2 linked regions of the Drosophila melanogaster genome follow. The protein of the gene in region 2 interacts with the protein of the main gene of each other region in a biochemical or structural test. Each region holds a gene or a part of one and is shown on either strand. Other genes may lie near its edges.

Region 1 (4,048 bases), on a different chromosome or scaffold from region 2:
ATGCCTTTTTTTGGACCACTTTCTTCTCAACTGTCGCTGGTGGGGCAGCCACTGGGGAAGCGGACGTTGCAACTGCAGAATCAGACATCTTTTTTTCACTGAGAACACTTTTTTTCTGTTAAAAATGGCTCGCGCGCTGCCTACCAACCTCCTTTGCTCTGATGAGAATCGAGGAGGAGAGCACTTTAACAATGCTACTGACATCAGTCATTTACTATGTCAAAGTTTGCTTGAAGTGTAAACTTTTATTAATTTTTTAGTATTTTAAATCATTAATAAAAATAAGGTTTTAATAGTTCTACACTTTTAAATAATTTTTTCGTCACTTTCCATTTTTAAAAGGATGTAATATGGGTTTTGAGACTTTCAAATGTTGATTGAATTTTTATATTCAAATTTTTAACTGGACCAATTTATAAAAAAACATCTAATAAAATAAGAATCATTGCAAATATTTCACTAATTCGTTATGTTTATTAAAATTGAAACGTTCATCCCCTAGAAGGGCTTCTGAAAGAAGCGTCTATTATTAATTAAGATACTTTATTACTTGATTTAAGTTCACATTGAACTACAGAAAAATTTGCTTTAAAGCAGCATTCAGAAATAATTTTCGATCGTTAAAAATACAGATACTTTCTTAAATAACATAATATTAATATAATAAATAATATTTTCTTAAATTATTAATGTGTTTGCTTGTTATTAATGTGTTTTCATGCATATTTTAAAATAATTTGTTCTGAAATCAATCGATTTCCTCGCCACATATGCATTACCGTCTATGTAGTCAAATAAATAAATCAAATAAAAAATAAAAAGAAACAATTTTTGTATTATCCTTTATTATGTAATATATATTACATTCCGCAACAAAATTAGCCAATTTCCGTGCTGAATTTTACATAGGTTTTATTTTTTACAGGCGTTTGAAGGGACAGTGTCAATTGTCCCGTACGACCTCTTCAATAATAACACTTTCTTCAGTTAACACATGGAAAAAATATAAAATAGCTAGTTTTATTTTATTATTTTCTGTTATTTTATAAATATTGCCGTCATCAATGTAATTTCATTAATTTCAAACTGTCTTACACAGAATTCAGATTTTTTTTTAGATGTTTAAGGTTCAGAGTCCCTTGCCCCGCACGACACTTTCACTGCTTTAAAGGATGTTCGCACAAAGAACAAATAAAAATATATATTTTTATATATATTTTATATTTATTAACCTCTTCTTTAATTTAATAAATGTTGAGCTGACAATTAAAATAAGATTATTTTTATTCCTTCTCTGGCAGAATTAGTATTTTTACATATGATTTAAGACCCAGTACCGTTTGCGCCATAAATAATAGAATATGAATTTTGTTCTTATTTTTTTTAAGTTATAAATAGTCGGCAACAGAAAATTTTATCTCATTGAATCTGGTTTGTGGTCCTGAAAAGGACCGATTATAGAGTACGCTAGCGCTTTATCTGCAAGTTAATGCCGTGTCAGCTTAAGCACGCTCGCCGCGAATGCGTCGCGCTAACTGGATGTCTTTGGGCATTATGGTGACACGCTTGGCATGAATGGCACACAAGTTGGTATCTTCGAAGAGACCAACCAGGTAGGCTTCGCTAGCTTCCTGCAGAGCCATAACCGCCGAGCTCTGGAATCGCAAGTCCGTCTTAAAGTCCTGAGCGATTTCACGCACCAGACGCTGGAAAGGCAGCTTGCGGATTAGAAGCTCGGTGCTCTTTTGGTAGCGACGAATTTCACGCAAGGCCACGGTTCCAGGGCGATAGCGGTGGGGCTTCTTCACACCTCCGGTGGCTGGAGCACTCTTGCGAGCGGCCTTAGTAGCCAGTTGTTTGCGTGGCGCCTTTCCACCAGTCGATTTGCGAGCAGTTTGCTTGGTACGAGCCATCTCCGATTTGGGTTTCACTAAAGTTCACGTTCACTACTTCACGTTTGAAAACACAATAAACGATCAGAGCATTTGCTACCTACTTATATAGCAATCGTGGACGGTGAAAGAGAGAGAGAGAGAGAGAGAGAGAAAAACGGAGGCCATTTCATTTGACGAGCGAAAAGCGAACGAACATATCGTTCGTACTCTCTCGGGTTTTTGTCGTTTTACCTATAAATAGGGGCACACAGAAACGTTGAAATTAGTTCTTTAGTGACTTTCGTGCTGTGCGTGTATAATAGTATAGAACAGTGAAAAATGACTGGTCGTGGTAAAGGAGGCAAAGGCTTGGGAAAGGGTGGCGCCAAGCGTCATCGCAAAGTGCTGCGTGATAACATCCAAGGTATCACGAAGCCTGCTATCCGCCGTTTGGCCCGTCGAGGCGGTGTGAAGCGCATATCTGGACTCATATACGAGGAAACGCGTGGCGTTCTGAAGGTTTTCTTGGAGAACGTAATTCGTGATGCCGTGACCTACACGGAACACGCCAAGAGGAAGACAGTTACAGCCATGGATGTTGTGTACGCTCTGAAGAGGCAAGGCCGCACCCTCTACGGATTTGGCGGTTAAAAAGTGTACATCCTGTGTACCCCTATTAAGCAATCGGTCCTTTTCAGGACCACCATTCAGTTTTTAAAAGGAGGAAGATTTTCAAAAAGTATTTAATTTTATTGGTCGGGACTCCCAAAAAATATGTTAAACTAAAAATAAATGTCTGTCGTTCGTACTCTTTTAAATAGAATGTGTATTTCTAACATGGATTTGTACAGACTGTACAAATGGTTTCAGACACCGCATGTACAGCATCACATCGTGGTGTGCGATTGTTTAAAGAAGCAAATTATAGTTTATACCGCATATAGTAGAAAACCCTTACTACATTACCATCTTTACGTTAATAATTCTTTATGATTTACTAATTACAACAAATTGCCAAGCTAAAAAATTTTTCAATTCTTTGGTAATAATTTGGTCGTCCTGAAAAGGACGGTTTGATTGACGATTTTATGTACATGTAGGTTTTTAGCTTAGCCTTTGAAACGTTTAGGCCTTCTTCTCGGTCTTCTTGGGCAACAGAACAGCCTGTATATTAGGCAACACGCCACCTTGTGCAATTGTGACGCCGGAGAGCAGCTTGTTTAACTCCTCGTCGTTGCGGATGGCCAGTTGCAGATGACGCGGAATAATTCTAGTCTTCTTGTTGTCACGAGCAGCATTGCCAGCCAACTCGAGAACCTCAGCGGCCAGATATTCCATTACGGCAGCTAGGTAAACTGGAGCGCCTGCACCAACACGCTCTGCGTAGTTTCCCTTCCGGAGCAAACGGTGAATACGGCCCACAGGGAATTGAAGACCGGCACGGTTTGAGCGGGACTTTGCCTTTCCCTTCACTTTGCCACCTTTTCCACGTCCAGACATTTTGCTTTGCGTTTATTTCACTTAGTTCACTTTACGCACGGAACACGAATGCTCGCCTAACCCAGACAGCGAAATATTTATACTTTTCCGTTTGCCTGCGCATTCAGTTAGGGGTGGGTGACTTAGACCTGAATTGACTGCTCGAAAAAAAGTATAAACGTGAACGCGTTCGGGCCCACATTACGATAAGTGAATTGTGTTTGTGAAAATATAAGTAACGTGAACAATGCCTCCGAAAACTAGTGGAAAGGCAGCCAAGAAGGCTGGCAAGGCTCAGAAGAACATCACCAAGACCGACAAGAAAAAGAAGCGCAAAAGGAAGGAGAGCTATGCCATCTACATTTACAAGGTTCTCAAGCAGGTCCATCCTGACACCGGAATTTCGTCGAAGGCGATGAGCATAATGAACAGCTTTGTAAATGATATTTTCGAGCGAATTGCTGCCGAAGCGTCTCGTCTAGCTCACTACAACAAGCGCTCGACCATCACCAGTCGGGAGATCCAAACGGCTGTTCGCCTGCTTTTGCCTGGAGAGTTGGCCAAGCATGCTGTCAGTGAGGGAACCAAGGCTGTCACCAAGTACACCAGCTCTAAATAATTTTCTCCTGCGAATGCGGACAATAATCCAAAACGGCCCTTTTCAAGGCCACAATGTGTTATACCAAAGAAATGCA
Region 2 (8,411 bases):
GCCGGGCATCCAGGTGCTGGGCCCCATCCATCGCAGCACAGCTCCCATCCAGCTTACTGAAAGTGAAACGGAGTACACGGTGCAGTGCATCAAACACATATTCGGCCAGCACGTGGTCTTCCAGTTCGATTGCTTGAATACGCTGTCCGACCAAATCCTTGAAAATGTGCGGGTGGAACTCACGCTGCCGGAAGGATTCACAACCAGGGCGGTCATTCCATGTCCCAAGCTACCCTACAACGATCTGCAAACCACTTTTGTCATCGTAGAATTCCCGCCCGACGCCGCCAATTCCATAGGTAAGTTTATAAATAACATAAATTTTGTATTAAAATCATACAACTTTTTTCAAAACGAACTATTTCCTCATTTCAGCCACCTTTGGTGCCACTTTACGATTTGTGGTCAAGGACTGCGACCCCAACACCGGCGAGCCGGAGTCAGAGGAGGGCTATGACGACGAGTACATGCTAGAGGATTTGGAGCTGACGGTTGCCGATCAGATACAGAAAACCAGAAAGAACAATTTCCAAGTGTCCTGGGATGCGGCTGACAGCGAAGGTGCCACAGAAAGATAAATAGGGTCTATTCAATGATTAGTAATACTCTATATTTGCAGAATGGCTACAAGCCGAGGATACCTTTGTGCTGTCGGCAGTGACCACCTTGCAGGATGCCGTCAACACTATAGTCAAGATCCTGGGCTTGGGCGCTGCAAACCTCTCTGAGAATGTGCCCGAGGGTACGCACCTGCATACGTTGCTCTGTTCAGGTAGGCATCCTTCGCTTTTAGTTCTGAGATCAGTAGTACAGTTTTTCCCCCTTTACAGGAACCTTCAGAGGCGGCGCCGAGATTCTTGTGCGGGCCAAGCTGGCGCTTTCAGAAGGCGTCACGCTCAATCTGACGGTGCGCAGCACGGACCAGGACGTGGCGGAGCTGATAACGGCGGCCATTGGATAAGACAGCGAGCCATGCAGGAACCTCCTTTGGTTCCTGCGTGCTGTGAACGTAATCTGAACTCCCTACGAAACTACGAAACAGAAAGTTACGCCTAATCAAAATATAATTTGTACCTTTAAGCGACTGTCTCTGTAATAATCTTAGAGCCCTGTCCACAATCCGGCATGTGCAACATTGAGTATTGCTACTGGCCATTTCCGAAAAGTTTGTGTGGCGATGCAGCCTTCGGTGTGCATCGCATATGTTTATTATCCCCATTTAGCCTGTGCATTTAGCTTAAGTATGGAAACAAAATATTAAAAATACATGTATATGCAATGCAACCCGACCTGAAGGCGTTTATTTGGCAGGTGCTTTTAAAGTAGGACATTGAAATGATTTTAATGATTGCAAGCTCGTGGAAACCGCACCTCCAAAGAGAAATTGCTTCATAACTAGAACTTACTTTATTTTATATGGTATTTTATTTAATTATAAATAACTTATAGTTGCAGTAGCCTAGAGTACTTCTTGTTTTCCTATTTTTACAAATTTCTTTTCTCGTTTGAATCGTTTATGTTCGCTGCGTCCTCCACATTCGTCTTAAATTACAAATTAACCTTTCTCACATGAATTCATAATTTCTTGTGCTTTTGTTCGCAATCGATTCCTTATTATACATTCTCCGATTCCGACTATGCTGAATATTTTTGTGTAAAATGTATCGACGATGCAGTTCCATCAATCGTTCGAAACGCTCTTCCGTATTAAATATTTAAAATGTAAACGCACACAAGTATAAAAATAATATAGATTCGTAATAACAAATAACACACTCATGCAGTTCGCAGCAATTTCACAATGATAATTTCATTTCGTTACAACTCCTATACTCATCTCCAAATGTGTTGAATATGTCATTAGATATATGTTTATATAGTTACGAGTGGTTGGTTGTCTGTTGTGTTTCATGCGGATTTCTCGCCAGGCGAGTGGTATTCGATTGGAGATGTGCACCATCATCCCGCCTGGCCTGCTCTTCAGATTTATCCATTTTCTTTTATAATACAAACTAGAGTGCTTCTCAGCTTTCATTCCGTCTTCTTGTTGCGACGTTGTCCTCTTCGATCGCTTCACATGCAGACGCTCACACACAAATTACAATTATATTACAATTAACATATTTCGTTTACACTTTTCGTTAAGGTTTGCCTTGCTTATTTGTTTCAGGAGCACGCCGCGAGTTGGCCAGGAAGCCCGGAGCTCAAATTCACAACACTGCTCCGGCACTTTAGTGGTTCGCATTCTGGCTACGGGGCTTAGCTGCCGGGATGGGGACTGGTGGGTCTCTGGATCGGTCGCGGTCTTGACTATTGAGCAGCTTAAGTCTTACAATTAAGATAGAGTTAATGCTTGGATATTTTATACAGTGAGTGGTTGGGTAGCTGGTGCTGTTGCTTTTGCTTTGCTCTCGCTTTCGCTGGTGGTTGATCGATGTGTTTTGCTGATTTCAAATCCGATCCGCTTCAACACTTGAACTTGACCATGGGAATATGCTTGGAAGACACGCACTTGTCGCAGCACCACTCGGCAAACACCTCCTTGTTGAGCATTTGGAAGGCCGCCTCTGTCAGGCCAACACAGGTTCTGCAAAAATGATAGTGGAGTTAGTCGACGACGAACATGAATAAACGAAAACACCTGACTGATTTTATGTATTAATTGAAGGGTAATCCCCTGTTAACTTTGAACTAGAAGTGATAAGACTAATTGCTCATGAGATTCCAATAAACTTTCCTAAACATTTTGTTCCGAAAAGATAATTATCAGGATATAAGCAGTTTAAAATATGATGATATGGACTAAATATTGTTCCTAGATATTTATATAATATTTTCTATTTGACCTTTTTAATCTATTGTAAACTGGTCGACCTACCTGTGAAAGAAAAAGTTACAACCGGATTCACAGAACACGGCTTCGTCGTTGTCGTTCACCTCCTTGTGGCACATGCCACAAGGATATATGGGCGGCGCATTCGGGTTCTGCGGATTAAAGACCATTGGCTGTCCCGGCGGGTACATCTTCCCGCCGCCCATTGTCATCGGCTTGGGACCTACGCCCATAGGGCCGCCCATCGGGCCACCTCCCATGGGCCCCATGTTGCCCATCGGTCCACCGGGACCCATGGGACCTCCTCCACCACCGCCGAACATATTTGGACCTGGGCCGCCCATCGGATTGTGGTGGTGATGCGGATGTCCGTGGTGCGGGGACATGTGCGGATGCGGGGGTCCGTTCATGCCGCCGGGTCCGGGTCCTGGACCTGGTACTCCACCCATGTGGCCGTGGCCCATGTGCGGACCCGCGTTCCCGTGCGGACCGCCCATCATGTGCGGATTAGGTCCTCCGCCCATATGAGGAGGCATTCCAGCAGGACCGCCGTGCATTCCGGGTCCACCCATCATGTGCGGCGGTGGTCCGCCAGGATGATGGTGCGGATGATGCGGGTGGTTCATCATATTCGGATGCGGGGGACCAAGATGGGAGGGTTGCTGCGGTGGCAGCATTTGGTTCATGCCCATTCCGGGCATTGGTCCGGGCCCGTGGCCAGGTGGGCCGCCGCCCATGTGCTGCTGGTGCTGCATAGGAACTGCGTTCGGGATCATCTGGCCCATCATGGGTCCGTTGTTGTTATTGCTGTTGTTGTTATTGGGGCCATTGGGTCCGGCTGGTGACTGCAGCGGGCTGGGTCCCGAGTTGGGCATGCCCGGACTCGGGCCGGCGCTGTTTAGCGAGTGATGCGGTGACATGGCGGGCGGCGCTGGCGAGGATGTAGGCACTGACGTGGACATGGACGTGGCCGTCGATGTGGGCGTGAGCGTGGGCGTGGCGGGCGAGGGAACCGATGAGGAGGCTACCGATGATACCGAAGGTCCATTCGACTGCATCGACGTCGGCACTCCCAGGCGTCCGGCTGCTGGCGAGAGGTGAGGATTTTGATTGTTGTTGCTGGCGTTACTTGTATTGCTTCCGTTGTTGTTGCTGTTGCCGCCGCCGGGATTCCCGCCGAGCATGTTGTTCCCAGAACCACCCGGGTTATTGCCGTGCGCGGGGGAGATGCCACCGGGACCTACTAGGCCGCCAGGCCCAGGACCTGGTCCTGGGATTGGTCCTCCAGGCATGTGACTGCCATGACCCGTTGGTCCGTTTCCGAGCGGACTGTGCAGAGGAGGAGGACCCATCTGCCCGTTGTTCATCGGTGGCTGCGGAGGTTGTTGTTGTTGCTGCTGTGGTCCGCCGGTATTGCCGGGATTCCCAGGGCCCGGTCCCGAGGGAGGGCCCAACGGGCTGCCAATTGGATTGCCCATTGGCGAACCCATAGGCAGTGAGTTCATTGGCGAGTTCTGCCCCGGACCGCCCATCGGTGAACCCTGCATGGCTCGCGGATTGGGTCCGTTGGGACCGCCTCCCATGGGCGACAGACCACCCATGCCCATGTGATGGGGTGATATGCTGGGGCCTCCCATTCCGCCCATTGGGCTCATGCCGCCCATGCCAGCTATTCCACCCATGGGACTACCCATTGGGACGGGTCCTCCAGGACCACCAGGTCCCCCTGGCCTTCCGTGATTCATATGCGGCGGTAGTCCGACGCCTGGTCCCGGTCCCATTTGATGGGGGTGCATGGGGCTCATTCCTCGCATTGGAGGTGGACCACCCATGTGCGGATGTGGGCCATGTGGGTGACCCATAGGTCCGCCTGGATGATGCGGGTGCATATGGGGATGCATGTGAGGCGGGGGAGGAGGTCCACCGCCCATGCCCATGCGGTCTTCCCAGTGCGGGTGCCCACCCGGTCCACCGCCGCCAAAGTGACCACCTCCTGGTCCGCCGCCCATCTGATTCATGGCCGCCATCGCCGCGGCCGCTGAGCTGGACATCGCCGACACCTGGGGACTGTCGTCGAATGGATTCGAGGCAATAATGGTGTCTCCGAAGCCTCCCATTGGCGGAGGGGGCAGCAAATCCTGCGGTGTGGGTGGCGCCTGCTGCTGCTGCATGGAATTCGCAGCAGCTGCTGCAGCCGCCGCCGCAGCCACCGCTGCAGCGGAGTTGGCGGCACTTGAGGTTTTTCGCCGCTTCTTCGGATTGCTCGGCGCCGAGATGATGTCCGTGGGAGGCGGCGGCTTAAAATCGGGCGGACAGAGTCCGCCCGCTGGACCCGGCAATCGATATGGCGCCATACCAAGATTGTGGGTCATATTCGAGGTGTTCTTCTTCCGAATGGTGGCAGCTTTTCTTCAACGGCGTGGGGCAAGAAATTCGGTTGTAGCGGCGTCGCCAATCCCGCGCAGGAGATCTCGACGCTGGTAAAGGAGTGGGTTTGGTTCTGATGTCCCTAGGGAGGTGGGCACAAATCCACTGGATCCTTCGGTGACCAACTACAATGGGTTATGCTTGGTGGGCTTGGGCTTTCTGCCGGTTATCCGGCCTGCGACCGCCTGGAGTTTGAGTTCCTGGGAGTGTGAAGGGTGCCAAATGAGTATCTGGCATCCTGTGGGTCAGTCCTCCTCAACTACTCACCAAGACATCTCCTGGCCAGGACCCTTATGAAAATCGCGTTTTTAAAGCAACTGACTCCCAAAACGCAGGTAAACACTTTCGGCGCAACGAACGGCAACCCCGCTTATTTTTCGGGTTGGCAACTCTACCCTGGAAACCCAGCGTCGTGTTGTCTCGTTTCAAAGCGCCAAGCACCTGCCGCTTCTCAGTTTCTTACTGATCCTTGATCACTTCAGGTCAGGAGTTCGTTTTTTTAGCACTCTGCACTGCGGTTTGCCACTAATTCCCCTTCATAAACCCTTCAAAGGGCGCTTTCTGGCAGCGCTCTTCTTCTTGCCAGCGATTTTATGTCCTCCGCTGCGCTTCCCGTTCCGTTTTAATTGCAGTGCAGCGCTTAACTGTTGTTTATTTACGGGTTCTTTTTGCGTTTGTCTTTAATCGGAAAACAAAACAACCGGCGGTTATTTCCCAAGGAAATTGTGTTAGGGTTTACGCGATTTGTGAAGCCTGCGTTTTCGGTTGGCTTTTTGTTGATTTGATGGCCACTGCAGCATCCACTTTTAATTAGCGCCGTTTATAGGAGCGGCACACGCACGGATTACCGTTACGCGGATTCGGCGGTCCGGCGGACTGACCACTGAACCGTTATATAGCAGCAGCACATTAACCTTTGTTTATTTTGACCAATTTTTGCGTGCGAAGAAGCGAAATATAAATAATTTTCATTGCAAGTCCGCCAGTGTGACCGTTTGCGCACGTCAAGAGAAATGCCGGAATTCCGTCGGCGGCTCAGTGTGGCCAAAGCAAGCCAGCACGAAGTAGTTTGCAACTACGTTAACATTTAAAAAGTAATAGGTTTAAAGGAGAAATTACGATTTGGACATACGTCATTTAAGTAATAAATATAAATTGCGTAAACGTATTAGCCCCAAGGTCAATACGTAGTGTGTCTTCATGCCGCCAATCGTCTATCGATATGCGGGTAATGTTATCGGCAAACTCTCAGGCGACGCTTGTTTATTGGCGGTGTTTAAATAAAGAGTTTAAAATTGGCAGGTTTTGCACATTAGGCTAGAGCGGATTGAACAGCAATGTGGAGCAACTTCGAGGCGTCCTCCCTGGAGGACGAAACCATCTCCAACATATTTTCGTCGCGAGGCATCTTCCAAATAAGCAGTGAAGAGGAAGTGAGTCCTTATTGTGCAGAATCTGCAGTTGGGTTTCTACGCTCGCCTTCTTTCATTGTCAGGTAAACAAATATCCAGATGTCATGGCCTCCGTGCAGTGCGGCAAGATGGTCATTGGCATCGACAAGAGCCTTTTGCTCCTGGAGGACGAACTGGTGGCCAAGTGCAGCTTTCTGGCATTCGGGGCAGCCATTGAGGCCATTGCCATTTCTTCAAGCGGCAACCTGATTGTATGCGGCCTCAGCGATGGCGAAGTTCACGGAGTGTTCATCAAGGGCCTGCTCCTGTTCAGCGTGGCCGTCAATCTGGAGGACGTGAGCCTAACTGGCGGGACCTTCCGGAGCATCCATCAACTGGATCAGCGGTTTTACTTCACCTGTAAGAATGGAAGCATCTATAGGTAAGCCATTCACAGAGATGGGCTCTGGCATATGCGTGATAAAACTGGATCTTGACATTATTTCATTAAACGATTCAAACGCTGTGTAGCTTAAGCGACATTGATGAGACCTGCTTGGAAACGTTAGGCAATATGAGCCTGAATGAAAACGAAACTATAGCTTGCGAAAAGGCCCTGCTCGAGGACGTCACCATTCAACGTCTTTCCAAGGGCAGATCCTCGTGCAGCGTGGACTGTGCAGTGCTGCTCAAGCGGCTGCTGACCGGCAACATCAGTGCCGAGAACAATCAGGATGATCTGGAGGCGCAACCCGGTCTAGTTATCACTGGAGATCAAAGCACTATGAACTTTAGGAATGCAGCCAATGACGTGACACGAATAAATTTGCCCGCTCAGTACGGCAGCCTAAAGCAGATCTTCAACTTGGAACACTATATGTGAGTGGGTTTGCTTATTGTGGTGCTAGAATCCCTCTAACGTGTATCTGGGTTTTGCAGTATCGCACTCACCGATTCCGGCCACTTGGTGGAGATTTGTCCATACACTCGCACAGTGTACATGTGTCAAACTACCCAACAAAAAAATCTGCTCATCGAGGATCTGCTGGTTATGGAGTGCAGCGAAGATAACATTGAGCTTCTGGTGCTGACGAAATCAACGGCGGAGGGACGCTTCATTAAGATAGTGGAGTACCCAAGTATGAGTCCAGCAAACATAAAACATAAACATACAGTAAGGCTAAAAACCTTGTGTCATTGCAGCGCTCAATGTGAAGAACGAGGTAGAAGTTCCTGATCACGCATGGCTTGTGCGTCAGCCTAAGTGTGCGGTCAATCTGTATTATCTGGCTGCCAAGGAAGTCAACCAGAGCAGCATACCCTCCGTGGTGGAGATGATGCTCGTTTCCGAGACCGACCCCAGTGATCGTTTTAAGAAGCTGATTTGCAAGGGGCGACTGGAGGAGGCTGAGGTATTGAGTATAATTGATCTCTTAGTCATTCATTATCCATTAACATTTGCAACAGGAATTTGGCAAGCAGTTTGAGCTGTGCCTCCAGCCCATCTATGAAGCCAAAGCGAAACGCATTTTGGTCGAGCTTTGCAACTCGAATTCACAAAACGTGGACACTAAATTCCAAGACTTGCTGCAACTGCTGTCTCAGGTGGAAAGTAAGGCATTCATAAAGAGCCATCGCATGATCAACTTGAACTCGAGGCACATCCTTGAGCGGTATCTTCACGAGGTCAAGAAGCGGTTGACTTTTGAGGACGACGAGGAGGATATGTTGGAAATCGACGAGCAACTGCACCGACTTAA

Evidence for each region.
Region 1: the proteins of pygo (region 2) and His3:CG31613 form a complex in vitro, tested with the Drosophila melanogaster proteins (2 studies listed by BioGRID).

Annotation. Positions count from the first base shown.
Region 1 is NT_033779.5:21,423,115-21,427,162, reverse strand, and holds His3:CG31613 (histone H3), read right to left. Parts: upstream 1,971-4,048; 5' UTR 1,914-1,970; coding exon 1,503-1,913; 3' UTR 1,442-1,502; downstream 1-1,441. Other genes in the region: His1:CG33804 (histone H1), read right to left, coding at 1-88; His4:CG31611 (histone H4), read left to right, coding at 2,214-2,525; His2A:CG31618 (histone H2A), read right to left, coding at 3,000-3,374; His2B:CG17949 (histone H2B), read left to right, coding at 3,601-3,972.
Region 2 is NT_033777.3:31,574,426-31,582,836, forward strand, and holds pygo (pygopus), read right to left. Parts: upstream 6,275-8,411; 5' UTR 5,528-6,274; intron 5,461-5,527; 5' UTR 5,206-5,460; coding exon 2,879-5,205; intron 2,588-2,878; coding exon 2,467-2,587; 3' UTR 1,410-2,466; downstream 1-1,409. Other genes in the region: gammaCOP (coat protein (coatomer) gamma), read left to right, coding at 1-299, 376-561, 620-772, 831-961; rod (rough deal), read left to right, coding at 6,598-6,693, 6,756-7,093, 7,183-7,530, 7,591-7,790, 7,855-8,063, 8,119-8,411. UniProt on the Drosophila melanogaster protein: Involved in signal transduction through the Wnt pathway.